4 linked regions of the Tamandua tetradactyla genome follow. Each later gene encodes a partner of the first gene's protein in a complex. Links are inferred from orthologs where the notes say so. Each region holds a gene or a part of one and is shown in the gene's direction. Other genes may lie near its edges. The genes, in order: NLRP5, KHDC3L, OOEP and YWHAG.

What was found.
Region 2: NLRP5 (region 1) and KHDC3L share a complex: the UniProt entries of both Homo sapiens proteins name them as parts of the subcortical maternal complex. The link is inferred for Tamandua tetradactyla from reciprocal best matches to the Homo sapiens genes NLRP5 and KHDC3L.
Region 3: the proteins of NLRP5 (region 1) and OOEP are in contact, whole or in part, in a cryo-EM structure (PDB 8H93), measured with the Mus musculus proteins. The link is inferred for Tamandua tetradactyla from reciprocal best matches to the Homo sapiens genes NLRP5 and OOEP. Residues at the interface, in NP_035990.1 of Mus musculus: Glu173, Leu176, Leu195, His196, Gly202, Leu206, Asn322, Leu325, Glu326, Tyr337, Ile338, Leu339, Val340, Glu341, Gly342, Leu343, Ser344, Ala345, Ser346, His373, Asn625, Gln626, Asp652, Ser655, Glu661, Leu662, Cys663, Pro664; in NP_080756.1 of Mus musculus: Ser26, Leu27, Arg28, Leu29, Arg30, Thr31, Arg32, Ile38, Val41, Asn43, Tyr48, Met49, Leu75, Leu86, Glu88, Pro95, Thr99, Lys102.
Region 4: the proteins of NLRP5 (region 1) and YWHAG are in contact, whole or in part, in a cryo-EM structure (PDB 8XI3), measured with the Mus musculus proteins. The link is inferred for Tamandua tetradactyla from reciprocal best matches to the Homo sapiens genes NLRP5 and YWHAG. Residues at the interface, in NP_035990.1 of Mus musculus: Ser1030, Cys1031, Ser1055, Gln1058, Cys1059, Pro1060, Val1061, Glu1084, Phe1087, Val1088, Lys1089; in NP_061359.2 of Mus musculus: Phe201, Tyr216, Thr220, Met223, Gln224, Arg227, Asp228, Thr231, Ser235.

The regions. Positions count from the first base shown.
Region 1 is NC_135342.1:3,519,123-3,527,108, reverse strand, and holds the start of NLRP5 (NACHT, LRR and PYD domains-containing protein 5), read left to right. Parts: upstream 1-4,964; coding exon 4,965-4,977; intron 4,978-5,959; coding exon 5,960-6,013; intron 6,014-7,986. UniProt on the Homo sapiens protein: Component of the subcortical maternal complex (SCMC), a multiprotein complex that plays a key role in early embryonic development.
Region 2 is NC_135331.1:129,253,426-129,259,633, forward strand, and holds KHDC3L (KH domain-containing protein 3), read left to right. Parts: upstream 1-4,362; 5' UTR 4,363-4,566; coding exon 4,567-4,735; intron 4,736-4,941; coding exon 4,942-5,121; intron 5,122-5,421; coding exon 5,422-5,543; 3' UTR 5,544-5,704; downstream 5,705-6,208. UniProt on the Homo sapiens protein: Component of the subcortical maternal complex (SCMC), a multiprotein complex that plays a key role in early embryonic development.
Region 3 is NC_135331.1:129,285,179-129,291,976, reverse strand, and holds OOEP (oocyte-expressed protein homolog), read left to right. Parts: upstream 1-4,936; 5' UTR 4,937-4,949; coding exon 4,950-5,229; intron 5,230-5,451; coding exon 5,452-5,631; intron 5,632-6,024; coding exon 6,025-6,104; 3' UTR 6,105-6,280; downstream 6,281-6,798. UniProt on the Homo sapiens protein: Component of the subcortical maternal complex (SCMC), a multiprotein complex that plays a key role in early embryonic development.
Region 4 is NC_135349.1:10,369,582-10,376,594, forward strand, and holds the start of YWHAG (14-3-3 protein gamma), read left to right. Parts: upstream 1-4,003; 5' UTR 4,004-4,191; coding exon 4,192-4,278; intron 4,279-7,013. UniProt on the Homo sapiens protein: Adapter protein implicated in the regulation of a large spectrum of both general and specialized signaling pathways. Binds to a large number of partners, usually by recognition of a phosphoserine or phosphothreonine motif.

The DNA.
Region 1 (7,986 bases):
CTCATGATATTACGCTGGATTACTCCAGAACAAGTGATCCAAAAGAAAGGGAAAGGAAGGTAGAAGAAGAGGGGGAGAGAGAGCCCAAAACAGAGCCCCAGTCTTTCATTACTTAATCTTGATGGTGACATCCCATAATTTCTGCCTTGTTCTGTTGGTCACACATAAAACCCTGACTCAGTTGAGAGAAGGAACACACAAAGATATGAATAGCAGGAGGCTAGGGCCTTGGGGCCATCTCAGAGGCCACCTCCTACAACTAGTGAGTGGCTGAACAAAGCATTTGACTCCATACCTGAGCTCCTGAGAACTGAATCATTGGTTTCAGTCTTCTCCAGGGGACCAGGCTGGTCTCCTATGTGGGAAATTTCCATCCACAGGTTTTGGATACTCTTCTAAGACTACAGAAAAATAAAATAAAATAAATGTAAGAGAAAAAAATTGGTTTTATCCTTTCCAGGGAGATGAAAGAGAGACATGAAGTGGATATGCTGACAAGGTTGGAGGGTCCAGAAGTGAGAAAACACTCCCTGAGGATAATACAAAATTGGGACTATGGGCGCTACTATAAGATACTATAAATGGACTGATCTTCTGACCCCCTGGACACTGTTTTCCTAAAGAAAAATTTGGAAAGGTTGCCTATTCTGTGGACCCTTCTGAGGCTTGGAGTTAGTTCTGGAAAATGGTTTGGTCATGACCCCCAAAGAGCCCCCTTGGAATTGAGGGACACGTGTTAGACGGCCGTTGGTCATTGGATTCAGGGGACCCAGGTAGGGAGAGTTCCAATCCACCAGGCTCCCCCTGCCCCTGACCACTAGATGTCTTTGAATATATGATGGAAACATCTCTAAGAACTGTCTCTATTCCAGGGGGGGCTTGGAAGAATTCAGCTGAAAATGTATGTAAATGCAACTTACAAACTTTTCAAGTGTTATTCATTTACCTGTAGATTGGTGGGGAGAGCATTCTAAAGTAGTTAGGACAGCATTTAGAACTCAAAGGACCAGAAAGCAATCCCATTTTCTTTTCTTTTTAAACAACAGTCCTTTTACACACAGGGTAATGGTCAGATATTATCCATACTGGTTTCTCAACTCTCTGAAGGGGCTTTGTTTTAGAAGGTAGAGCAGTTGAGATCCTCACCATCCCTTCCCCCACCCTATTCTTAAGATGTGGATGAAAATAAAGGTTCATCAAGGTCAGACTCTGTGATACACAACTTACATCTGGGCAAGTTCACCTGGAGCTGACCTTAGTGCTCTGCTGAGATGGTCCACAGTGAGCAAGGTAGAGGTGTCAGAACTTCCTTATCTGAAATCAGCAGGTTCAGAGGTGGGCTTGCTGTTGTGTAAATCCAGAGAACCCAACCACTGACTGTACTCCCCAAAAGGGCCCTGAGTCACTTGCTTTGTGAGGGCACTAAGGGAATTTACCAGTGACGGAGTTCCTGGCATCACGAGAAGAGCTAGAAGTAGGATAGTGCTTCCTACCCTTTGTGGCGTATTGTATTACACCTGGCTCTTTAAAATACCTTTGCCTGGTTCCCAGCCTCAGAGAGGCAACCTAAGTGGAATGGGGTGTGGCTTAGGCATAGGGGTTTCTTGGCTTGCTCAGCTGATTCCATTCTGCGGTGAGGTTTGGGAACCTTTGAAACAGGCTTCCTGGCAGCAAGGGAATGGTAAGAGCATGATTTAGTAGAGGCCAGGTAGATGGAATTATCATTTTGGGCAAAGTGGCCAGAATGGTAGCCAGACATACTTACAGAATCAGACACCCTTCTTGGTGGTGGCAAAGAGATTGTAGTGTTGCTAGGGTGAAGTAGGTGGGCAACTACCAAAGAAGATATAGGACTGGGTGAGCAGAAGCCTCGTGCCAGAGCTGCAGCTCTGTGAAAACCATTGTCTCTCAACAGATTTCCATATAGTCCCCAGACCCAAAGCCACTGATAGAAGGGCCCCTTGAGGCAGACCCTGCAGACCACATCAAGTGTGAACAACAGTGATTTCCACATGGCCATCCACTAGGCTAACCCACTGGGAATAGAATAGTCAGGGCATTCAAGGACTACTGGATATAGCATTTGAGTCAACACCGTCATCATGAGACAGAGGGTACCATCAAAGCCCCAGGTTGGATGGAGGCATGTGGACACCAGGGGATAAATCAGGCCTTGGCACAGTAGGTCCAGGGGGTCTGAAGAGGGTCACCTTCACGGCCCCTGAGTGTGTAACGGAGATGGTCATTCCATCGGCTCCCTGACCTCTGGAGTAAAGGCCATAATGGTAGAGAAAGGCCCAGCAGAAGCCCTGGAAACTAACCCCCCCAGGCAAAGACAGCATCTCAGGTGGAATGCCAGAAATCAGTGCCGCCCTCAAGACGTCAAGGATCCAGGGGAGGTGGTCCCTGTTACATCCCTACTTAATTGACCAGGTGAGTCCTGGGCTCAGTGGGCTCCTGTTAAGCTTAACTAAGTGGAAGCCCCAATTGCAGTTGCTGTGCCAGCTGTGCCGTCTTAAATAGGTCAAAAGAGCCATGGGATTTGGTATGGCGAAAGCACTCCTTCCAGTCTTACCAGAAATGTCAGGAAGAGGATCAGAAGTAGTTCACATTGACTTGGGAAGGACAGAAGTGTATATACACTATCTTGCTTGAAAGTCTATATTAACTCTTTTGCTTATGTTTACATTATCATCCAAAAGAATCTTGAGCTCTTTGGACGTTCTATAGAACCTCATCCTGGTCCACTATCATCAATGAGGCCATGTTCATAAACAGATCTCCATAAACATGACCACTTGATTTATGGCAAGTTGACATTGCAGAGGACTGGGGAAAGGATGGAATTTTCAACAAATGATGCTAAATCAAATGGACAAACACGCAGAAAAAACAAGTCTGAATCTCTATCTCACACCACATACAAAAGCAATTCCAAGAATATTGTAAATGTAAATACAAAAGGAAAGACATTATACCTTCTAAAAGTTAACATAGCAGAAGATGTTTGTGACCTAAGGAAAGAAAATATTTCCTTTCCAAAAAAAAAAACGCATTCACCAGAAAAGGTAAGTTACAGATTGAGAAAAATATATATATTTTCAGTATATATCCTTGAGTTGTATTCAAAATAAATATGTATAACTCCTACAAATTAATAACAGAAAGGCAGACAACCCAATAGAAAAATGAATGCAAGACTTGAATAAACAGTTTCCTTGAGAGAATATCCACATGTCCAATAAAAACTACTCAGCCCCACCAACCATCAGGTAAAGCAAGTCAAAACCACTACACAGCCACCAAAATGAGTGAAATTGGAAAGACTGTCCACAGCAAATGTTGGCAAGAGTGTGGAATAATTGGAGCCCCCATATTTTGCCCTTGGAAGTATAAATTGGAGCAGCTACTTCGAAAAACTGTGAGGATGAAACGGATTGAAAACATCTGTGCCCTCGGACCTAGCAATTAAGCTCCTACTATATATTCAACAGGTATGCATAAATATGTTTACCAAATGACATGTATGAGAATGCTATTAGGAGCATTATCCATATTATACAAGAAGTGGAAACAATCCAAATGTCCATCAGCCATATGATATACAAAATGATGGTGGTCGTTCACACAATTGAATACTATCCGGCAATGAAAATGAATGAAACGCTGCAATGCACATCGGTGTGGATTAACTTCACAGGCTCAACAGGCAGGTACAAAAGAATGCACCCTACAGTTCCATTTATCTGACTTCAAAAACAGGTAAAATTATTCTGTGTGATTGGAAATCAGGATAGAGGTTATCTTTTTTTTTTCTTTTACGTGGGCAGGCACCAGGAATCAAACCCAGGTCTCCAGCATGGCGGGCGAGAATGCTGCACTGAGCCACCTGGGCCACCCTAGAGGCTATCTTTTGAGAAGTGCAGAAGTAGTTTCCATGAGGGGGCATGAGCAGGGCTTTTGAGATAACAGTCATACTCTACTTCTTCATCTTGTGGTAATTTATAATTCATCAAGCTTTACATAACTTGTGATGCCCACACGTTTCTGATGCAATTATATAGTGATAAAAGTTAACTTAAAATGTTCATATGGCAATCTCAGGATGATGCAATCTCCAACTTATCCACAATGAGCTTTGGTTATATTTATAATACAAAATAAGTAGATTTTTTTAGCCAGCACATTCATTTGTGTACATTCCATATGACTGAATCTAATAAAGTGAAAGTTAGATATGGCATAAATGCATCAAAGAAATATAACAAAATTTTGAGAATGGTTTTCTCTAAGCTAAGCTGTTATATATAATTGTATATAATTTCTTAGCTTAGAGAAAAAATATATAATTTTTCAAAAGAGATTATATAAATATTTCTTTTATGGTGGAAAATAAATTTTTGTTGTTTCACACCAATTGATCTATTAATTCCACTCTAAGAATTTGTCTTGATGAAGTCAGACTAAAAGGGGATAAATATTTACATACAAGGATCTCCATTCAACATTATAACAGTGGCAAAATTAAAACAATCTAAAGGTACAACTATGAGAAGATAATTATGCTAATTAGTAAAACCAACGGTAAGATATTATACACATCATTTAGTCATTTTAGACTATTGTCAGTAAGAAAGTTATTTATAAAATGAAAACTAGGGCAGGCCATGGTGGCTTATCAGGCAGAGTTCCCGCCTGTCATGCTGGAGACCTGGGTTTGATTCCCAGTGCCTGCCCATGCCAAAAGAAAAAGAATAACTAATATTGTGTACTCCACTATTCCAATTCTGTAAGATTATGATATTGATTGATAATGTATCTATTTATGAACACACATACACATGCATATATGTCATAAGGTTAGGGGACTATATACGTGTATGTTTTTGTATATATACTGAGAAGGAGTGATATTGATTTCTCATTTATACTTTTTTCTATCTCTCCAATTTAAAGCAGCAATCATGAATTACCCAGGTAATTCCAATTTCAGGTTGTAACAAATATATTTAATGAAATGATTGACAGGACTTAGTGACTGATTAAAATTAGGACTACAACGAACTCCCCTCTGAGTTAAGCATTAACGTGCAGACTTCAGCACACGTGGATAGTGTTTCTGATACCTGAGGTGGGGAATTGAGAAGGAGAGAATGTAGGCGGAGACACTCATTGGATAACAAACAAGAATGCATGCTGTGTACCAGACCTGTATTGGGCACTGGAACTTAACATTTTGAATTGGATATGTTGAGTTTTACATGCACGTGGAGCATCCCACCGCAGGCCGTAGGTGATAATTGGAAGACTGGGTCTGGAGCTGAGAAGGCACCTGCCAGAAGCCATTTGGGAAGCATCAGCATGTGCTCGAGGGGAACATCAACATCAAGGGTGGTATAATCTAAGAGGACTGGTTCAGAGTCAGGACCGTGAGGAAAGCTGATACTGAAGAACGGGAGGCATAAATGAGCCAAACAGACCAGAAGTAAAAGTCAGGGTTAGGAGTTCATGGGGACTGAAGATAAGAGAGTTTTATGTAGATAATAGCTTGGACAAACAACAGCAGTAATAATTCGAGGGAATGGTTAGTAAAAGCCGATTTATTGTAATATAAAGAACCCCCACCACCACCATACGTGCGCGCGCACTCACACACACAGAATTATTGCTCCCAGGACAACCAGGGGAGGGCTGTATGCAGCCAGAGGTCCTGGGCACAGGTGTATGAAGTGTACAAGGAGTGTCCTCACCACCAAGTGGGGTGAGGGGTGGGAGAGGCGGATAGGAAGACTCAGAGCCTGCAGGTGCAGAAAGCAGGTGTTCTACTTCTACTCTGAGCATGGCCATTTGGAGCCCGTTGCATCCAATGACCAGAGATGACGTCACTGGCTCAGGATTCCCTACTGACCCTCACCACGTGGGTGTGGGGCTGGGCCTAACCTTTTTTTTCCCACCCAAGATTGCCAGTTGGCCCAGAAGTGGGATTTGAGCTTGGAGGTGAAGAATCCAGTCGGTGGGTACTTTCTCCTCTCTTGTTCCCAATGCCTTTCGTTCCCCCCTATTTTTTTCATTGCTGATTACAGCCTACTTATTGGGCCCTGTAACATGCCCCTGTGCCTCCTGTTAGGCTACTCAGAGACAGGGGTTCAAAGACCCCTTTGAATGAGTGAAGTCCCGTTTCCCCATTGTGCTCAAAAGGTCCACCTTTGAAATACATGAGTTTGTGGGAATCTGGGTAAGCCCTTCACCCTTTCCAGACTCTAAGTCTGAAATGGAGGGCAAAGTAGGGGTGCTATAACTCAGGTCAAGAACAGATAATCCCGGGACTGAGGGTGTTACTGTATCAATCGTGCTAATGGTAACTGGTCAACTTGATTCACCATTACTGAGGGGCTATGCAACATGGGGGTATCTTTCCTTTTATTAAGTGAGGAACCCCAGTGGTGGATAAACTAAATGTCTTTCCTGGGGTAATAAGTGGTGGAATCAATATTCGAACCTAGATCTAATTGATTTCAAGCACTTTAATCTTGCCTGCTTCTAGTGAACCATTCAAGACACCTGTGGAGACAGATGTACCAGGAGAGATAGGAAGTATAGAAGAAGGAAGGAAAGAGGCAAAGTGAAAGCTTTGGTAAGTCATTTGTCCTCAGAAGGTAAACTTGACTACCCAATTCTAATTTATATCACTCCAACCTACATCATTCCTGGGTTGGAATAATGTCCTTCACTCCACCCTGCCAGATTTCACAAGAGGAAGTGTCTATTTTAAGGTAATGCCACCACCTGGGTTCTAATTAGATCCACGTGTCCTTAGAGTTTTTCAGTCAGTTCCTGCTCTGTGATGGAATGGGAAAGAAAGAATGCTAAAATCAGGTAACTATTCTTTAAAGGTGTTCTCATGAAACAGAGAGCAAGTATATAGCTTCCCAGAATGTTGGCTTTCAACTCTGTCGAGTGGGGTCAATAACACTCTTTATATCTCAATGTTTATGTGAGGATTAGATGAGATGATGTAAGTCACTTCAGACGGTTACTTAGAAATGTTCTTTGTTCTTTCTCTTTAGCCTCCAACTTTTATTTATTCTTAGTTCTGTGTAAGGAAGTTTCTCAACCATCTAATCCTAAAAATAAACGAACTCTCCTCAGAACATACTGATTTCTTGACCTACCACTGAGGTTTCGCTCTTATTATTTCATCGTTCTGCTATTTTTCCTCTAACCTCTTCAGTGAATTGTTTGGTGGCAACATTTATTCAATTTGTGTGTATGTAAAAGTGTTTCTATATGGCAATCTTAAATTCATTCACTTTTAAATAATCTTTCTTTAACTGCTTAATCCAATCGTTGAAAGAGCCTCACCCACAGACACAGAAACTTAAACAATTAATTCTAAAATCTCAATGTGACCCCAGCAGCAGCTTAAATCTGAGCACCCTTTTACCTAGAATACTCCTTCACTTGGAGTCTTGCTTCCAGAATGTGATTAGTAGACCAGATTATGGTTAAAATTCGCATGCGTGCCCTACACCAGTCCTTTAGCTGAATGCTTTGCTTGTTAACCTCACAGAAACCCTCGGAAATTTAGGTACTCTAGTTCCAATTTTCCAGAAAAGGAAACTCAGAGAGGTTCAGTCACTTGTCCAAAGGGACATATCTGAACTTCAACTTGGAGCTGTTACTCTGATCTGGGAGCCTGTGGTACCTGTAACCATAGAAATATATTCCCTCTCATTGAATTATCTATGTAGAATCTGTACTTATAGCCTCGGGACTATGAGTGCACTGGTCTAACTGGCTGTGCTAACTGCCATCTGCTACGATAATGTTAATAACAATTCATTGGAGTAGGACATGATCTGGGGTAGAAAGAAAAAAATGGGAGGATGCAGGAAATAGCTATTATCTTCTCGAGGTGGTTGTTCAGTCCATAACAATTGTCCAGTGAGTGCTACCTCTAAACTGTTTCGGGAGATACCCCTCATA
Region 2 (6,208 bases), on another chromosome or scaffold:
GAGGCTGCCAAGTCTCCGTAGAAACACAGCCACTAAAACCTGTTTCCTCCCCCTTTCCTTTTTCTGTGAGCCCAATGAGCGAACGCCACTTGACCAGGTTTAGAATCTCTTTCCTTTTCCTCTGGGAAGCCACCTGTGGGGGACGGACGCCAGGCGCCGTGGCTTGGGGAACTCATGGTTTTGGGGAGGCTTGCAGCCGGTCCAGCTGGTCCAGACTGGGGTACGCTGTGTGTTTGGTCACTGATGTGGCTCCGGGAGCTGTTCTGTACTGTTTCTGGTTATTTAGTAGTTGTTCTGGAGGACAAACTAAAACGCGCACATTGCTAAGCCACTATCTTGACTCCTCTCCATTACATCTTGAATAACAAGGTGATACCTACTTAATGCGTAAGGATAACCTCCAGGATAACCTCTCAACTCTGTTTGGAATCTCTCAGCCATTGCCACTTTGTCTCATTTCACTCTTCCCCCTTTTGGTCGAGAAGGTTTTCTCAATCCCTTGATGCTAAGTCTCAGCTCATTCTAGGGTCTTAGGCCTAATTTTATGTAGGCTTGACCTATCCTTTGTGGGGTTAAGTTTCATATGAACAAACCCCAAGACTGGGAGCTCAGCTATAGCTTTGGTTGTCCACACGGCTTGTGAGAATATCAAGAATTCAACTTGGGGAAGTTGAATTTTCCCCCTTTCTCACCATTCCCTGAAGGGGACTTTGCAAATACATTTTTATTCACTGTTCAGATCACTCTGGGATTTATTGGGGCATCACTCTGATCCAATTAGCTTTTTAGTTCCCAAGTCTTAATGATTACCAGACAACCAAGACAGCATAAAGGAAACAAATGGAAAAGAAAAGAAAAAAGAGCATATAGGGGATCAGTCCAGAAGGCCAATGTTTTTTTTTCTCAATGAAACATTAAAAATTTTATTGAAAAGTAAAAAACAGTGCTGTTGCAGTAACTTAGTTAGCTCAAAGCAAAGAAATGATAGCTAATATTAACTTTCCAACTTTCTCACAGGCATAACTTTTTTAAATTTGGTATAGGTAATTTTTAATCTTTTTTTGAAAAAGTTATACGTGCTTTTATGAGGATTTAATAGTCCTTCAAGACCCGTTAAAAGAAGATTCTCTTCTACCCCAAACTCCCATTCAGTACTCTAAGTAACATACTTTGATTACCAGCCCTTGATTTTTCAACTTCCAACAGGTAAAGAGGAGAACTATCTCCTCCACCATCCTTACCCATCTTTTCCAAATCACTGATCCTTCCAGTAGTTTTGTTGTCATTTTGATTAAAACAATATTGGGTATTTACATGAATATTATTCATAATTGAACAACGCAGTATACTATAAATACTTTCCTATGCTGATAAACCTTTTCGCTTTCTCTGGAGTTAATAAGTTTCACCTTTGCTTAGCTCACTATTACCATTAATTCAACTCCAATCTCCCCCCTTGCCCCCTATATAACTCTCCTCTCAAAACACTGAAACATATTGACTATCAGAAGGTCAATGTTTGAATAACAGGAAGTCTAGAAAAAGAGAAGAGGAAACAGAAGGAGAAAAAACTATTAACAAAATAATTCAAGAATATTTCCCAAAGATTAAGACCATAATGACCACTGAAGTTAGAAGAAAATGAAGCAAAGCACTAAATTATGAGGGAATTTTCTTTTTCTAACCCAGAATTTTATAGCCAGCTAAATGTCCAAATAACTATGTGGATAGAAAAAATTTTTTTCCTAGATGTAAGGACTCAAAATTATGCATTCTTCCACAGAAAAAAAACTAGAGAATTTGAGCCCAGGATCCAAGTCAAAGATAGGATTTGGGAATTCACAGGAGGGCCCCAGAATGCTGGCCCTGGAGAGCAGCTAATTTGGATTGGAGCAGTTAAGAAAATTGCAGAAGTAATGCTGACAAGAGGTACTTGAAAGTACTGAGGGGAAATTTATACAGTTGGAGAGAGTTTGGAAATAAAGGAGGAGTACATAGAAAAAATCAGCATCTGAACCAAAAGGCAATCAATAACAGCAAGAAAAGCAAAATTTTGTGCAAGAGAAAAAAAAAATCAATAACTTATATGCTGCCAAGAATAATATTCACAAAGTGTTAACGCTGAATATTTATCTAAGAAAATCATGATGTGATGAGATTGGGAGGATACCCGATCTGAAGTATGCAAGTAAACTGGGGAAGGGAATGAAAGATTAGTATAAATATGTGTGTGTGTGTATTTTGATGCCCTGGGAGTGGTTTCTGTGCACCCGAAAATGTATCTAGAGGCTTCTTTGAAAATAAATATTTGATTTCTAAAAATTATAAAAACCAAACCTTTAGCCCTTCCTTAAGGCTTTCAAGTTTCACTTTCAAATATTCTCTTTAAAAAATCTAGAAAGTTTCAAAATTACTTTTCATGTCCTCTGAATGATACCAGATTCTACTGACTAATTTAACTAAACATCTTCATACATGTCAAAGAGCTTTGCAAAGTACTTTGCTCATATCTATTAACAAATAAGGCCTTCCCAACTACTAAATAATACCTACATATCAAATTAATATTATTAATGTGGTGGACCTTAAGTTCTCTTCAGCGGTCCAATGCTAATTGTAAATTAAGATTTCATCTTATAGCCACAAATCTATATCAACTACTTAACTGCATATTTTAAATTGGAGTTGCAACACTGCCTCTTTAATAGCCTTCTTATCTAAAATATTACAAGAACATAAAACATCATATGTATGATTTCTTTTCTTTTAACTGCTTTGAAGTATAACTGAAGTACAATTAACAGCACATATTAAGAAGTGTGCAATTTAATCATTTTTGACACATATAAATACAACCATGAAACCATCACAGCAGTTGAGATACCACACATTCCCATCTTCCATAAGAGTTTCCTAGTGCAGAGGTTTTCAATCCATGTCTCCTTCCATCCCTGACCCCAGGCAACCACTCACCTGTAGGCTTGCATATTCTAGGATTTTATTTAAATGGCAGATTCCTTTTTAACACAATTAGTATTACTACGTTTTTATTCTTATATATTATATATTCAATACTGAAACTTTAAGGGCATGAAAGATCTTTATTCATACAAAAAGTTGAACATGTTTAGAACTGCCAATATCCTCTATGCTGTGAAACAATGGTATCAGTCCTATAGCCTTATAGTAAAAGAAACGCATCTGATCAGAGATTTTCACTGGGATGCTTCCTGGAGTGTTGGTGACACCGATGGGACCTCAAATTTCGATTTATAATTGCTATGGCAGTGCTGGTGTTACCTCACCACCTCCAGAGGAGGTGGTTACTGAGCCCAGATCCTTGAGTTTATATTGTACACTCATCTAGTTGTTCCACCTACCCACAGAAGTCTACCACTCCATCCTGTGATCGTTTGAATGAATTTATGTATAAATACTTATCTACTTAGGTCTCTGCTTAAGTCTGACCCTAAAACATCCACAGCTTTTCCTGCACTCCCACCAACAGTACAGGAAGGAGGCCTCTGAATTCTGATGACCTCTCACCACTGGGTCTGATAAGTACTTCCCAACTACTGACTCCGGAGCTATAGTTTCACCTTCCTGAGTGAGTGGTTAACTGATAATGCCTTAAGCTGGAGAGGAAACTCAAGAAATGGAAATATTTAGCGTTATTTAGAGAACTGAGGTGTCAAAAAAGGCTTCAAGTCGACCTTCCTGGTGTCCAAATTACTTGGACCGTCTGCTACTGGGTGTTTGTGTGGCCGTATTTAAGGCTTACCTGTGCTCAACTGGTCTCTAAATGTTACTGGAGAAGCTGGACAGTGGTGGTCCCTGGGGCCGGTACTCGGTGGCAACGGTTCAGGAGAAAAGGGAGACTTGCCTTTAACCTTTGGACATTGTTTTTACTGCTTAAATTTTTGCTTTTTCCAGCTTCTTGAATTAGGTTTTCCAATAAAATTATGTCAACCTCTCAGGAATGAGCTGATCCCACGGGAACTGTCTGAGTAGCACCGGATCTCCACAAATACCACTTTGCTTCACTCTGAAATATTTTCTCCATTTTCGCTCTTCTCTACCTTTCTGAGTCCACGGTTATGTCCACCGTGTGCGCCTGAGAATCGAGGTGGGGACCTGTGCTGGCTCCTAAAACTCGCAGCTCCAGCTGGCAACTTCCAGCTGGCTGCTAAAACTCGCAGCTCGGCTTTCCTTTCCCGCGGCTCTGGGAAGAGGGCGAGTTTCCAGACCGAATGGCCCCACGGAGAGCGCACGCGGAACCTGGCGAGCTTCACCACGTGACCGCTCCGGGGCTCCCAGCCCGCGCGGCCCGAGACCTGAGGCACGCCAGCCGCAGCCGCCGCGGGCCGCTCCAGCTCCCTCGCACGGCCGCGGAAAGATACGGGCTGCTGGAATTAGGGTCCAATGGGAAGGGCGCGGGGTGGGGAGGGGCTTGCCAAAAGCCCTTGATTTAAGGCCCAGGCCCAGGCTCAGCTTCCGCGGCCCATCCCCGAGTGCTGCCCTTCGGTTCTCCCTCCCGCGCTCGCTGCCCGCGAGGCCGGCCGCAGCATGGCTGCTCCCAAGCAATTTCCGACGCTCGTGCAGCTGGAGCAGGGAGAAGGACAGCGTTTCGAGCAGCTCGGTAATTTCGGCAACCCGCCCTACTGGTTCCACCCTGAGTTCCTGAAGAATCCACGAGCAGTTCACGTCGAGGCCTGGCTTGTAGAAGAGATCTTCGGTGAGTAGGCTTGGGTGTGGCCGCCATAATGCCCTCCTCCCCATTCATTCCCCCCCACACACACACACAATCCGGCCCGGCCCTGGGAAAGCCCGTCCAGTGCTCTTGGCCCCCAAGCCTGTGCCCCCATGGTCTCCCTCGCCCCCCTTCCCCTCAAGTCCCCAGGAGCCACCCTGCTCCTCACGGCTTCTCTGCTCCCTGCGCAGGCCGGGGCGGAGAGCACATCCCGCACGTCGAGTGTGCGAGCCAGACCCTGCTTCACGTGAACCGGTGGGACCCCGGCGGCGAGGCCGAGATTTTGATATTTGGACGGCCTTATTACCAGCACGACGTAGCCAGATTGGTCATGAATTTAGCAGATTATCACCGCCAACTCCGGGCTCAAAGTACGTGGCTGGGGAGCAGAGAGGGGTGCCCCGGACATTTTCTGGGTTCCTTGGGAGGGATCTTGATAGTCCCCCGCGGCCCAGACAGCGGTTTCCCCCTCCCACTGGATCCGGGAGAGGATTTCCTCTTGGCAAGGAATCGGGAATACCAAATTGGGCCCCAGTTCTGAGATTCCGTGGTAGACTCCAGATTAGGAACAGCTCACGGCTCCCGTCTTCGTTGCACGTATGGATGACTGGACTTTTGGGGAGGGGGAATGGGGGCGTAGGGGCACCCTCCTCATGCTGCTTGTCTTCCAGGCCCAGAGAAGGCCCCTGCCGAGGAGGCCGGGAAGCAGCAGTCTGGAGAAGCGGCCGCCCAGGAGATCGGGAAGCAGCAGCCTCAGAAGGCACCTGCCCAAGACTCAGTTACCAGATTGTGATGGCAGCTCGGCCCCGGGAAGGGAGACAAGCAAAAATTAAACTGAAAGCCTGTTCTTGAGACCTGTTATTCTAGGTCCTGCTTCGGCCCTAGAAATTAGGGAAATGGTGTAGGTGTGACCTCCCCAGTGTTGAACGTTTGCGAACCCGAATCTAAAGAGTTCTAATAAAGAATCAAATTTCCCTAAGCGTCTTTTAATTAGAAGGTAGAAGAAGAGGGGGAGGTACCCTCCCCCAGCACTCAAGTTCTGCTCTGTGCCACTATCAGAGGCAGGTGCGACCTTTTAGTTCCTGGCCACCTCTGCCGTCATGCACCTCTCCTGCTTGTGATTTTTAACAGTATGCAGCTGGCGCTGCTTGGATACAAGGCCTCTAGGGTGTACTGAGTCAGTCCTTGCTGTGAAACCCAAGTCCCAGTTGCCCCCAGCAGCTCGTGGTTCTACTCGAGGAAATTTGAAATGGTAAAAACCTGATTGCAATCTCTGCCCTGAGGCTGGGGCCCTGCTGGACTGGGAAGACCCACCCGGGCGTACCATGGTATGGCAAGTAACTTCCTAGCCCTGGCACCTGACCTGGTGGGTGAAATTGTGGGCGAAAGAGCCAGGGCTGCCCCATTGACTTCGTTAATTAAGTCTTGCCGGGGTTACCATAACTTGCCTTAGGCTTG
Region 3 (6,798 bases), on another chromosome or scaffold:
ACATATGAAAATGCAGACAGATACAGCTCAGCTTAATGACCAAATTAAGACACTGGAGGAGACACAGACTTTGGAACAACTAATCAAAGATGTTCATACAACTCTTTTTATTTATTTTATAAATAAAATCAATGGGATGACTAATGACATAAAGGAGATCAAGAAGACACTAGAGGGAGAAGCAGTGGTGGGAGACATCTCTGCCCTCTCCAGAGGCACAGGGCCACACTTGACTCTCGCAGCCCCTGTCACCTGCTCCCTGCCCCTGGAAAGTAAACTGACTGTGGGGTTGAGTGGTCTGAGCTGAGGGCACGAAGAGCTCAGGGCAGTGGTGACGAAGGCATTGATATCAGTGCTAACGAGGGCCTCTGTAGGTGGAGAAGATGCAAGGTAGGCGGATCAACTGGGAGATGTGACACCACACAATATTAAACAGTTGAAGAGATCAAACTAAGTCATGTTTCCAGTCATCTACAATGACAAGTTCTACGAGGATGTGCTGGAGGTTGGAGAGCTAGCAAAACTTGCCTATTTCACTGATATTGCAGTAGCTGCAGTGTGCTGGAGGGTGGATCATTCACAGAATCAGAAGAGACTTTACATGATGACACCAGGATGTCTCGCACCTTACTGGGGCTAGGAATAGACACTAAAATGTTATATCATGTCTTAAACATCTGTGAAAAAGATGGCACTTTTGACAACATGTATCTATAAGTCCAGATCAGTAATGAGTCGGCAATTGACTGCTGCAGGAAGTTTGGCTTTGAGATTACTGAGACAAAGAAGAACTATTATAAGACGATAGAACCCGCAGACACTCATGTGCGGCAGAAAAACCTCAAAGTTCCTCTAGCCAGAATGCAGATGTGCAAAAAACAGATAACTGAGCAAATTACAAATGAACTTTCTTGCACTTCCTTTTGCCAAATAAAAGAGTCTCATTGGTTTTTCCCCCTTCTTTCTTTTAAAGCTTCTCCCCTCCTTACTTTTTGTCTCTCTCCTCCCTTTTTCTCTTAAAGTTTTAATATTTTCAAGGTCATGTGTGGATTGTTTTAGTTTTCTGACTTTTGTGAGGTGGTTTCATTGAAGGAAGGAGAAGGTATAGGTGTAAAGAAGGATTTTATAAAGCTTAACAGTAGCTAACTTTTCTTATGTAAAGAAGGATTTTATAAGCTTAACAGTAGCTAATTTTTCCTGCTTAATTTAGCTATTTACATATATTTTAGCTTCTGAATGATAGAAATATCCAGCAAAAGCATTTGTGTCATTCTATATTCACTGCTATGCATTTGGTGTGAGATAAGAATTGTAAAGAAAAGAATTATGGGCCCCATCAGGCTAAGAAAAACAACCCGGAACTTCCCAGGGGCGGTTATCTGCTTCTTGCAACAATGTTTGTTATCTGCTTCTTGCAAAAGTGTTTGTTATCTGCTTCTTGCATGAAGCAGCACTCGTGACCCATGCTCGACCCTCACCCCCCTCCTCCTACCCCTTAAAAACTTCCCCAAACCCAGGCTCGGGGCTCTCTGTTCCTGCGTGTTCAGTGAGCCCCACACATGTGTGGTAAATAAACCCCTTGCATGTTGCATGAGAGAACGTCTCTTGGAGTCCTCCTTTGCGTGGCAAAACTCTCGAATTCTTACATAGGTATGTTTAGTTTCACAGTTAAGATATATGGTCCCAAAGATTGGGGTGTCACATAATTTCAAAATTTTTAGCTTTCACATTGAAGGGCAAAGCCTACAAAATATTGTATATTCAAAAGACAAAAAAGAAGCAGCACCAAAATTTTGTTCTCTAATTCATAGACAAGTTAGTGTGTTTGTGATACTTTGGGTTTTTAAAGATTATTTGTGGGATCCTAATCCCTAAACATTGCTTTCATCCCCCTTTAGTCTTTCTGAGCACTGTCTCATGAGCTGGACCATTATTGTCTTTGTAAGAAATACGTAAGCTTTTGTGGTTGTTTCTTTAAGCAGTTTTTCCTCTCTTCCTTGCTGGTGGTTGAGGTGGATGGGGCAGTTCGGTTAGGAAGTGTTTACACTTCGGTCACAGTATTTGAGTTAAACTGCTTTTTGCTAATGCGTGGGCTGGCTGTTATCAGGTTTATTTTTCCTGTTGTTGATTGTTACTAGTGGCATTAACTTTTAGAATGTGGGCTGGTGTGATTAATTTATTTTAATATCCCAGTTAGAGATATGGCCTTTAACTGACCTAAGAGGTTTGTTGTGATTTACCTTTTTTTCCTTCTGTCCTTTTTCTTCAGTGAACCCCATCAGTAGTTGTAGTCAGCATTGTTAAAAAATGGAGCTTATGTCCTTGTGGGTTAGTGCCCTTAATTAAAACTGAAGCAGGTGTTTTCTCTTAAATATATTAAAAAGGACTTAAAAGGAAGTTTAGATAGACTTGTGACACACACAAAAAAAGTCATTTAATGTTAGCTAATGTTGGCTGCTAAATCTGTGGCCACTGAGTGTTTGATTATTACAAAGAATATCAAGGCAGTATTTTTGAGAACATAGCTGTGCTATTACTTATCTGTTGCAGAGCATCCCAGATTTGATTACACTCGGCCAACAATGTTGAGTTTAAAGATTTGGGGAAGAGTGGAAATGTTAAACATACTGCTTCTATGCTTGGAAAAGTAGAAGTCTGGAAGTGTTAATAATGCACATGTCACAATGACCTCCTCTACTGAAAGAATTGACTTATACCAGAATATTTTCTGGCACGTAGACAAGTGGCTTTGATGGGTTGATAAATTTTTGTAAGATGGGAAACTAAAATTTTTTTTATCTTTTCCTCCCATAATCCCATCTTTAATACTTAAAATTTTTTAGACCGCCAATGCTGATGTTCCATTACAATGTCCCATTAGATTTTTTTTTTTTTTTGCAAGAGCAGGCACCAGGAATCGAACCTGGGTCTCTGGCATAGCAGGCGAGAACTCTGCCTGCTGAGCCACCATGGCCTGTCCCCCATTAGATTTTATAACGTGCACAGGCCTTGAATTTTTTCTCACTTTACTTCAAAAGAAAGGTTGATTCATAACGTATATTCTCTTTTGTAAAATTCTGGTATGAAAGTCTCATCTCTCCAAACATACTATTTACAAAATGTTTGTGCACATTTATAATCCTAAATTCTTATTTGAGAATGTGAAAGTATAATAAACAGTCTTATCGAGTGCCAAGAATACAGAAAAGGAAGGTAGTTGATGAGTGAATATATAGAGTTCTAATCTTAAAACAGAAAAAATCTACAAAGACCATGCTGTTTTTCAAGCATCAATTTCTTAAGCAGCCCAAATCTAAGCTCAGAAGAAAGGTTTCATATTAAACACCTTTAACTTTCATGGATAAGCTTCAGCTTCCTCTTGCCAAGAGAAGAGTGCTTGAGTAACAGAAGGCATTAGTTTGAGGAACTTCACTCTTTTTATAAAATTCCAGATATCAAAATAGATTTTGATATGTAAATGAATTTTCTGGGATGACACTATAACCATTTTGCCTGGACTATCTAACCAGTCCTATGAATGTATCCCTAAATGTGGCTATTGAAAACAAAATAGCTGCCTCATGTCTAATCAAATGCATGGTATTTAAGGAAGGAAAAAATTAAATTTTGAATTGAGTGTGTAGGCTCCCTGTCATTATAGTTTTTTTCCACACTAGTCTATAACTTAACCTAAATCATAAATATGTGTAAAGGGTTAATTGTCCTGAATCAAACTTTTATTAAATAATTCCATCCGCTTAAGGAGGAGGTAGAAGCTGGACACTAATTCATGTACCTGTGAATCAGTAAACACTGAATGAGTGCCCCATGTTGAGCTGGTAATTTTGACACATAATAAAAATTATATTCTTGGAGGTAATACAATAAATGATTCTATTAACTGGAAGATGGCATAATGTGACCATACTTCAGTACAGTTTCTACTGTGGGGTGAATAGGTAAAAATTGTATCGTATGGTAATTGATTTAGGTGCTAAAGCAGAGAATCTGCAGATAAACTTATGCAATTTATAATTTGTTCAGAGTTGTTTTCATTTGGGTAAGGAAGTTCTGAAATATCCTCCAAAGCAGTTTACTTAGTAATTGAAAGTCCTCCAAAAATAGAACTATTGGGAAATCATTGTGCATTTACAACAATGATTTCCACTAGAGAGGGAAAGGGAAGATTCCTTCATGATAATAATTTTAAAGAGAGGCAAATGTGGGAGAATTTTGACATACGTTAAATTTGGGCGTGGCGGTGGTAAATGGGTGTTCTATTACTTTGTGCATATGTAAAACCTTTCACAATTTAAAATTTAATTAAAATTGAGAATACTGGAGAGAAGTGTCATCTGTAGAAGTTGTGTCTTAGGATGGTGGGAGTAAACGGTATTTGTCCACACCAGCTACGTTTTCTATAATGACTACCTCTGACATTTTATTTAAAACATGACACAGTTTTGCTTGAATGATTTCGAGATAGTAACCCTCTGGAAAGAGTCAGAAGATAATGGGGGCTGAGAGGAGAGATTTTACAGATTCAAGGAACCTGCTTCCATCCACCTGATCTACCTACCTACGTCTGGAGGGCAAGGTGGAGACCTTAACCTTGGCGATAAAGGTGATTCCAGGTCAACAAGGTCGCCAGTTCCACCTCGTATTGTTAATGAGTTACATGCTGGGGCAGGGACCTTTGAGGCTATGTGATACCTTACTAGGTGGGGCCGACAATGAAGAGCAAGGGAGACATGTTTGGAGTTCAAATAAATTCTTGTTGAAGGCCGAAGTGAAGCCTGAGTGATTGACACAGAGCAGGAGGCGCCTCAGGGCGCCCAGGTGGGAGCACCAACCTCCACGTGGCAGCTAAATCCGGAGGTCAGGGATGGGGGGCGGGGGGCGTGAGCTCTGCCGGAAGGGGCGGGGCTGGTCAGGAACCTTAATGCAGGATGAGGGGGCGTGGGCTTCGCTGGGGTCTGGACTCTCCTGAGGGCCGCACCGTCCTGAGCATGGTGGACGACGCTGACGCTGCCGGGGTCCGCGCTGCGGAGGCCCGTCCTGCTGAGGCCCAGGATGACAAGCAGGTGCCTGCGGCGTCCCACAGCAGCCTGCCCAGGTTATTACTCCCGGTGCCACGGATTCGCGTCCGACCGTGGTGGTTTCCCGTGGAGGACCTGAAGGACCCGCTGGTGTTCCACCTGGAGGCATGGCTGGTGGACCCGATCTTCGGTGGGTGACCGGGGGTTTGCTCCTAGGCTAGCCCCCACAGCTGGAGAGCGGACTGCAGAGCAACCCTGCGGCCGCCTTCTCGGACTCGCCTGCGCGCGTCTGGCGCCAGCCCAAGGACACCAGCCCCCAGCTGTTCCCTCGGCCCAGCAACATTCCCTTCTTATCTAGCGCCGCCAAACCCGCGACTGCCCCGCGGCTCACAGTCTCTCCTTCCCTGTTTAGGCGCAGACAGAGCAACCATTGCGAAGATTGAGTGGATGAGCCAGGCTCTGCTGATGGTGGACACAGTAGACTCGGAGGGCCTCGCCGAAATCACCGTCTTCGGCCGGCCGCGGGTACGGAACCGGGTGAAGAGCATTCTCCTGGGTCTGGCAGCGTTACACCGGGAACGTCGTTTCAGAGGTGAGGGTCTGGGCGAACCTGCATGTGGAGAGAGCCACGTATCTCCTTTCTGGACTTGCCTGGCTTCTTCCGGCCTCTCTTCTGAAAGTAACTCTTCAGAGTTTCCAAGCCCCAAGAAGCTGTACCCAGCTGCTGGGGATCGCTTTGGGAGGGAGCCCGGGGTAGGGTCTCGGAAAGGTAAGCAGAGGTCTGGCGTAATTGGGAGCCCGTCGCTGCCCAAGCCAACTACAGGTGGACTCCATCACCATTCCCAGATCCCGGTTCATGTCTCCACCCCGAGAAACGGTGTTGCCAGCACCTTCCCTTACTGCCACCTATTAACAAGTACAGTACAGTCTAAAACAGCAAGCACTTTTCCAAACTGGTGGTCGGCATCAATTGTTTTTCCTCCAGCTGAGAAGATGAAACGACTTGAGGACTTCTTAAAGTCTCATGCATCAGGCGCCCAGACTACCCAGCATCCTGTTGCTTAAGACAGAATGAGTATCCTCAGGAGTATTGTGAGCCAGCCTTCTGCTACTAAAGTTGAAGGAAAACAAGTATCGTTCAACTTTCATTCCAGTCTCCTGTGTCTCAGTGAATAATAGTTTGATTATTTTGGTGCAAATGTGAGTTTGTGTTCTTCCAATAAAGAAATGAATTTCCTTGCTTTTTTTGTCCAATGGCCAAAGATCTTTGATCACTTAAAGTTACTCCAATTTATAAAAGACTGACTCGGTTCATTTCTAGGTTTAGGTAGAAAGCTAAGCAGTGTCTTTTTTTTTCTTGTTTTTTCCTTCCATTTTGGAACTTTTATGGCTTTATGGTTATGGTCAGGCCCTCAAACCCAGGGGACAAAGATGCAGGGGCAGATGACCTCACAAATGGCCAGTCTGTTTTGGTGAACAAGACTGGTCTTGTTTTTTGTTTTTTTTTTTTGACCAAGCTGCCAGGTTTACTTGCACGCCTATACCCCCTCCCTTTCCTGTCCTGACTATCTTAAAAATAATCTTGCAGCTTTGGGATTGCAGAGAAAAACAGCTCTGTGTTTGCAAGGGGTGGGTGGGCAACAACTTCAGATCCTAACTTAGCTATTCTAAGTATCAGTCACCCCCTGACCTCCCTCACCTCTCTCCTTCTCACACCTGTTACCCAAGCACCTGAGAGGCTGTCTAGTTAGTTCCTTAT
Region 4 (7,013 bases), on another chromosome or scaffold:
TTAGGGAGAAGAGTCAAGCCTAGTTCCTCTGCTCTGAAACCTCTGTCTCTTGAGAATGCATGGTCTGACTCTTTGTCTGAGACAGCGGCCCACTTTTTATGGTGACCCACATTCCCTTGGTGGGGTGAATTTTGAAGTTATCTCTTTTTTGTAGAATGGAAAACTTAGAATGTAAAGATGTATTAAACTGTTCATCTTTCCTTTCCCCAGCCCAATCAGTTTTAAGAGCTCTTAAACTCACATTTTTAGAGTGAGGCTCTGGAGTTAGAGAAGCCAATTTGGTGACAAGCAGTCAGCCCCAGGTGACTTGGAGCAGAGAATTTCCCTGTCAACAGGACCTTCAGGCAGCCACTGAAGAGGATGGGAAGACTCCAAGGCAGGACAGTTGGAAAGCTTTTGCAAGAGGCTGGAAGATATTAAGAAGTAGTCCTCCTGCTCTTTTTACAAATAGACTCATAACCTGACACCTGGAGAGGTAAAGTGACTTGCCCAGGACCATCCAGCAAGATCAATAGTAAAGTCGGGGCCCCTCCACTGCCCTGGAATAATCAGGAGGAGATACAGCCCACTGGCATTTCCCTGTCATCCTCTGCTTCTGAATTTGTCCTGTGCTCTGCCCCTGTTGCAGCCCAGCCTGTTAGGGCTATGATGGGGAGGTGTTCCCAGAGGGCAGGATGGAGCATTGCAGGTCTGCTTTGGAAAATGCTACTCCTGCTGCTGCTTCCGCACCAATCAGGGAGCTTTCCAGCCGCAGGAGGAAGCCAGGAGCCAGGGGATAGGGCTGCAGTGATTTATGAGTGCACAGAAACAGCAGGACACTAATGTACCTGGCTGGACTGCTTGTCTGCCAACTCAGCCAGAGAGGATGCACTTAAAGGTCATATTCTCCCTCATTGGAGATGGGGACAGAAGGTTAGCCATACAAGGTGCCTACCCAGTGTCCCTGCATTAGGACTGTCACCCGAGGGCAATGCCTCTCCTTTCCTGAGCAGATGCCATGGGGTAGATCCTCATGGCCCCGGCAGGAAGGGCAGCCTTGCTACTGGGAATCAGGAAGATCTGCCCTGGCTTGCATTCAGGCCCTGCCAAAGGTCACACAGCCCCTCTGAGTCTCAGTTTCTCTCTCTAAAAAACAGGGACAATTCTGAGTTTCTCTACCTTTGGAATTTGCCCCTCTCTCACATCTGCAGGCACAGACTCCTGTTACCACAGATAAAGAATTCTAGTAGCCTTCCATTTTATAAGAGGCACATGCTGAATCTAGAACCATGACTCATCCTGGATGGGTGGGGCCCTTAATGCTTTTTCAGTTTAATTTCTCACTTTAAAGGTGGGGAAATTGAGACATGGAGAAAGGACAGGCCTTGCACATGTTGCTGGGGACCAGGCAGAAGCCAGAATAGTAGTTCTCCACCTGTCTGCTCAGGTTTCTTTCAGCAGTACCAGGCAGTGGAGACGGAAGCCCAGATATTAAGCTATTCCCTGCGGGTAATGTCGCCCTGCCTCGGAGGCAGTCCTCTCAACAGCCAGAGGCTGCTGGGCTGCTGTAGCTTTAAACCCAGAGCCTCAAAAAAATCCAACAGGAAAGGAGGGGCAGGGCCAGTTCCCCCTGCACTGTTGGAGGGAAGCCTCGATGTAGAGACTGCAGATGTCATTCCTGTTTGGCTCTCGAACATCCTTTTCTTTGCATCTGCTTTACTTTTTCCAACTAGATTTGGCCTGAGCTTTTTTTTTTTTTTTTTTAAGCATATTGGTCTGGTGGGGGAAGGAACTGAGGGGAGAGGTCAGAGAGGCAGGGAGAAATGTGCCAGGAAGTTCCCAAGATTTAGCATCTGGGCCTGGACCAGTGACACATTTAATCCATCTGTGGACAACCAGGGTTGGGTGTAAGGGCTCATTTCCATGGGTTCGTGATGCCCAGACTACAGTGGTTCATGCCAGGCTGCAGGGGGGGGCAAAAGAAAGAGAGGAATGACTTGGTGAACCACTCATGCAAGAGACAGAAGGAAGTGGGAGGGTTTATTCACCAACAGGATTGCATTTTGCTGGGTTGGTGTGGTAAGGGAAGAGGGGCCAAGGCAGATGCTGTGTTGGAGGAGAGTCAGCTATTTTCTGAGTCTCTCTCTCCACTCAGTCCATCTCTTTACCCTCCTGACAGAGCAGTCTTCCTGAAGTGAATTCATTCATTCATTCATTTCCTTATTTCCTATGTCCCATGTGCTTACTAAGTGCCAAGTACTGTGCCAGGCACCGAGGAGTCAATGGTGATGAAGCCATCAAAATGCAGCTCTGATGGTTTTCTGCATCCATCTCAGGCATCCTATTTATTTCAGAATAAAGACTTAACTCCTTAGCCTGGCATTCAGGGCCCCTCAGGTTCTGACTCCTGGCTCCATCCCCAGCTTCACTGCCCATCACCTGAGTCACCAGACACATCAGATTCTTTGCCTGCCAATAAATATGCCAGGAAGGAACCTGCCTCTGAGTCTTGCTGCCTCTGCCCTCTGCCTGCTTTCAAATCCTACACATCCTTTAAGAGCTGGTCGGAAATGCTGCTTTTTAGAACCTCTTCCTACTCTTCCTATCCAGCCTGGAAGAATTTTTTATGAATACTTACAGTACTTAAGACATGCTGAATTTCTTGAAGGCAGGGTTCCATGCTCTCCTCTTCCAGCATCTAGCAGTGTCTGGAATATTCCTTCACAGAATCTCTTTCATTCTAGGTTCACATAACCCCGCACTTCATCTCCCTACTTTATGTTTCGCTTCGTATCACTTTCCAACATAGTCTACATATTGATTATTTATCTTGCCTGTTTTCTGTTTCCCCTTTAGAATGCTAAGTTCCATGTGGGCCAGGAGCTTAAACTGTTTTGTTCACTGCTGTACCCCATTGCTTAGGACAGTACTTGGTACATAGTGTGTGGTCAATAGATAGTTGTTGAATAAATGAAATAAAGAAAATTTGCAGTCAAAACTATGGAGTGTGTGGGAGCTACCCGGAATCTCAAAAAGGGAACCCTATGAGCTAGGATTTGTCGGTCTGACCTCAGCGTGTATGTCCAGACACAACCTAGTCCTAAGCATAGCCTAGGTAGGCTCTTGGTAACTGGCAGTGGAATCTGCAGCACTCCATCCTGGAGAGGAAGAAGGAGCCTCCAGGGGTCAACCTGCACACAGCTGCATCCTTTTTGTAACTTGACTGGTATGCCGGGCCAGTATTTGTCTTTCATGTTTTCACCATATTTTTACCGAGTCAGGCCCCAAAACCTCAGGGTGGGGATGGGGAGCTGGCTCCTTGGAGGAGGGGGTGACAGTCCCCCACGGTTTGGCCTCTTAATTCACCCATCCCGCGGGCAGATCCCACCCTGACGGTTTGGCTCTACGATGGAGGTACCCTCTCAACCTCCATGGCCTGCTGCTTCACCTCGGAAACAGGGCCCAGAGTTGAGGCCCTTGCCCCTTCCCTCGTAATTTCCCGGGGAATAGGGGGCGGGGCCGTGAATCAGCACTCACTCGGGCAGACGCAGCTCTCATTCCCGCCAGGGGTCCCCAGCGGCCGCCAGATTTAAGTCCCCTCCCCATCCTCCTCCGCCCGCGCGCTCCACCCGCTGGGAGATGTAGTCTCCATTGCCCCTTTGTCCTTGGTGGGTCCAAAAGATCACCCCGCCCGAGGGTGAACTACAACTCCCAGGGGCCCACGCGCTGGCGGCCCGGCGGGGCGGTGGTCTGGAGGGGAACGGGTGGGGGTGGGGGTGTCTGGTGGTGTTGGGGCGAAGGAACGGGGGTCAAGTGGAGGAAAAGAGGTGCTGGTGAGCTTCGAGGAAGGAGGGGACTGCCAGAAGAGGTGGGGGGTTGGGGCGGTGAGCTGAGTGGAGGGGGGACGCGGGAGCAGCGGAAGGAGCCGGGAGGGGCCTGGGCGGGGGCGCGCGGCGGGCGGAGCCCGTGCGTCACGCGGCGTGGGCGGGGCCGCAGGGGGTTGTCCGCCCGCGGCACGCACAGCCGCCGCAGCCGCCTCGCGCCGGGTCCCGCGGTCGCAGCTGGAGTCGCAGCCTCCGCGCCACCGCCGCCAAAGCTGGTCGCTTTGTGGGTCGGTCCTTCCGGCACACGGGCTCCCGCCGCGCCGCAGCCGCCCTCCGAGCCGTTCAGGCCGCCTTGGTCTCCTCGTCCGGCCCGACCCAGCCCGCGAAGATGGTGGACCGCGAGCAACTGGTGCAGAAAGCCCGGCTGGCTGAGCAGGCGGAGCGCTACGACGACATGGCCGCGGCCATGAAGAACGTGAGTTTCTTCTCCCCTCCCCCCGCCTCGCCCCAACCCTTTCGGAAACGTGTACCTTGGCCCTAAGGGCTCCGGGACCTGTCGCCTGTCGCGACTGCAGGCTCGGTCCCCCCTTCTCGCTCGCTGAGGGGGTATGTGGAGGGTCCAGATGGCGGTCGGGAGCTGGCTCGTGTCCTCTGCGCGTTCCCGAGGGTCGGAGGCGCTGCCTGCTCGGCCCTACCCGGGCTCAGGCTGGGGCGGGGTCTTGCGGGGCTGGTCACGGGAGCCGGGTCTCCGGGCCCCCGCGTACTCCGGGTCCGCTGGGGACCTGAGCGGGGCCGTGCGCATCCTTTGTGCCCCACTTCCCCTCCTCCCAGCCTAGGGCGTGGGGGCGGGGGACCGCATGGAAGCGGTTCCTCTTTCTCTCCCCGGTGTCTGGGCGGCGCCTTTCCCATTCACTCGGCAGGTCTCTTTTTCTAGCCGCCCCCCCCCGCCCCCCCGCTCCCTCCATCTTCCTCTTGCTTTCCTGCAGATCCTTTAGAACCTTTCCCAGAGAAATTCAGGCTCTCTTGAAATCTTGGGGTCAGTGGTGCAAAATCGTCGCCTTCTTGCTCATGTTTGACTTAACAAAAGGCTTCTCTTTCTCCATTTCCCAAAGCAAGTCCTCTAGGCTTTTAGGAAAGGGGACCGTCTGTTTCGTTAGCGTGTTCTTGTTAATTGTTCGAACATGCCGTTTCCATTTTTTCCTAATGCTTTGCATTGAAAAGAGCAGATAATGGCTTTAAAATAAAGGTTGTCAATTTGTGACATGCTGTTTTTTTTTAAAATACAGCCACGCGTCTGTTGAAATTCCTATAAGTTGAAAAAAATTCTTTCTGATCTGATACTGCAAACAAAGCGGTGGTGGGAGGCAGTATCAAGTCATTCCAGAAGATTCTGCATTTGTCATATTGCAGAGAGCCTAGACTGGGTGGAGGCTGGGAGGAGTTGTTTTAAAGGGGAAAATGTCTTTTTTTAATTTGCTTTGTTACATAGACTTGAGCCTTTTTTTTAATTTTAATTTTATTTTTTTTAAATAAAGCCAGTGCATCCTTAGGCTAATGAAAAGAGAATACTGTCCTCCAGTTGTCGCATTTTGTCTGGGATACAGATGCCTGCCTGTATTGCACCATTTTGTCAGTAACATTACATTTACCTAGTGAATGGTCAACCAGTTTAAGATTAAAGGAAGGAGGAAGCTTTGAACATTATTTGGAAAAAATTAATGATTTTGCGTCTCCCACTATCTTAATATTTAACTTCCCGTCTTATGTAACAAAGGTATTAAAATGCATCTCCAGTTTGAAATGAATGTAAGAGCGTACCTTGCATGCTAAATCTTTGTGATGAAACAATATAGATATAGAGGTTGATTCTTGAGTAACTACGTTAGTTCCCAGAAGATGACAGTGCTGATGCCTTTATATTTAAACAAGCTACATTAACAAAAAAAATTTTTTTTCTTATTAAGGAGGGGAATTCGATTCTGTGAATTGAGGGTTCTGGTGTATTAATATGCTATATTGCCACAGCTGCTATCCTGTAATATTTTAAAGCTCAAATGACACAAATTGCACTTTTAATAGATATCAGAATTGAAAATGTCTGTTCATGTTATTTAGATTATTTTAATTTTTCCATATCTCTAGTTTCACAGGAAAGCCAGTGACCTCGCACCTATATCCATAGCAACCCAGTGATGTCACACACAATGACACAGAGGCTGCAATGCACCTAAGGGCTGGTAGGGAGTTTGCAAATGGCATTTGTCCAAGGTAATGCAGAAATTAGTTGATAGTGGGATTGACTTCATCTTTCTCCAGATAAGAGCTCTGCAATAGAATGGCCCTGTGGGTCCAAAAATAATGAGGTATCCTTACATATGCACATTAGTGACCTCTAGATAATGCTTTATTGAAGTTCCTATCTAGTTTTCCCAGGAAAGTTTGTAAGATACATTCATATTTTTACACACTCATTTCACCTATTTAAGTAATTGGCCGATTATGGAATAAAAACAAATTTTAAAACGAGTATATTTTATAATTGTGTGGAGGGGGCTGCATACTTAGGATTATTACAGATACTTGGTAGATTTTGATAAAAACTCAGAATTATGGCTGTCCTCCTGGGTCATTAGATGATGAGACCACATTACAAACGAGTTATCAAATTCATTTTAGATGGATCTTTGGGAAAATTGTCTTGCTGTATTTTTACTTCTCTGACAGAGTATGGAGAAACTTAAAACCTTTTCAGTTATGGTGACTTTGACCCTCACTTTCCTAATCTGTAAAATGGGGCAATACCTGTTAGAAAAAGTTTGTGAGGATTTAGGTGCTCAAAAATGGCAATTACTTGCAAAACTTTGTTTCTTACTGTATAAAAGTGATCTCATCATGGAAAATTTGGAAAATACCATAAGGTACCAAGTAAATACTTAGTGGTACCACTCAAGTGATATATAGGTAGCCAAAAGGCTATCTTAATTATATATTTTATAAAATCTTTCTAGTGGGGTCAATAGGCTTTAAAATTCTTTTTATCTTTTTTCTATTTTTTTCTTCTAGCCCTCCCAGGAGACTAGATCAATGGCTATTATCATTAATGGAGTATTGACACCTCTAGAGTCCTCAGAGGTGGAATTTTGCCAACCATTATTCTAAGTCATGTGGCTTGAATTGTTCTCTCTTGGAGGAGTGGAAAGAATAGAGTAA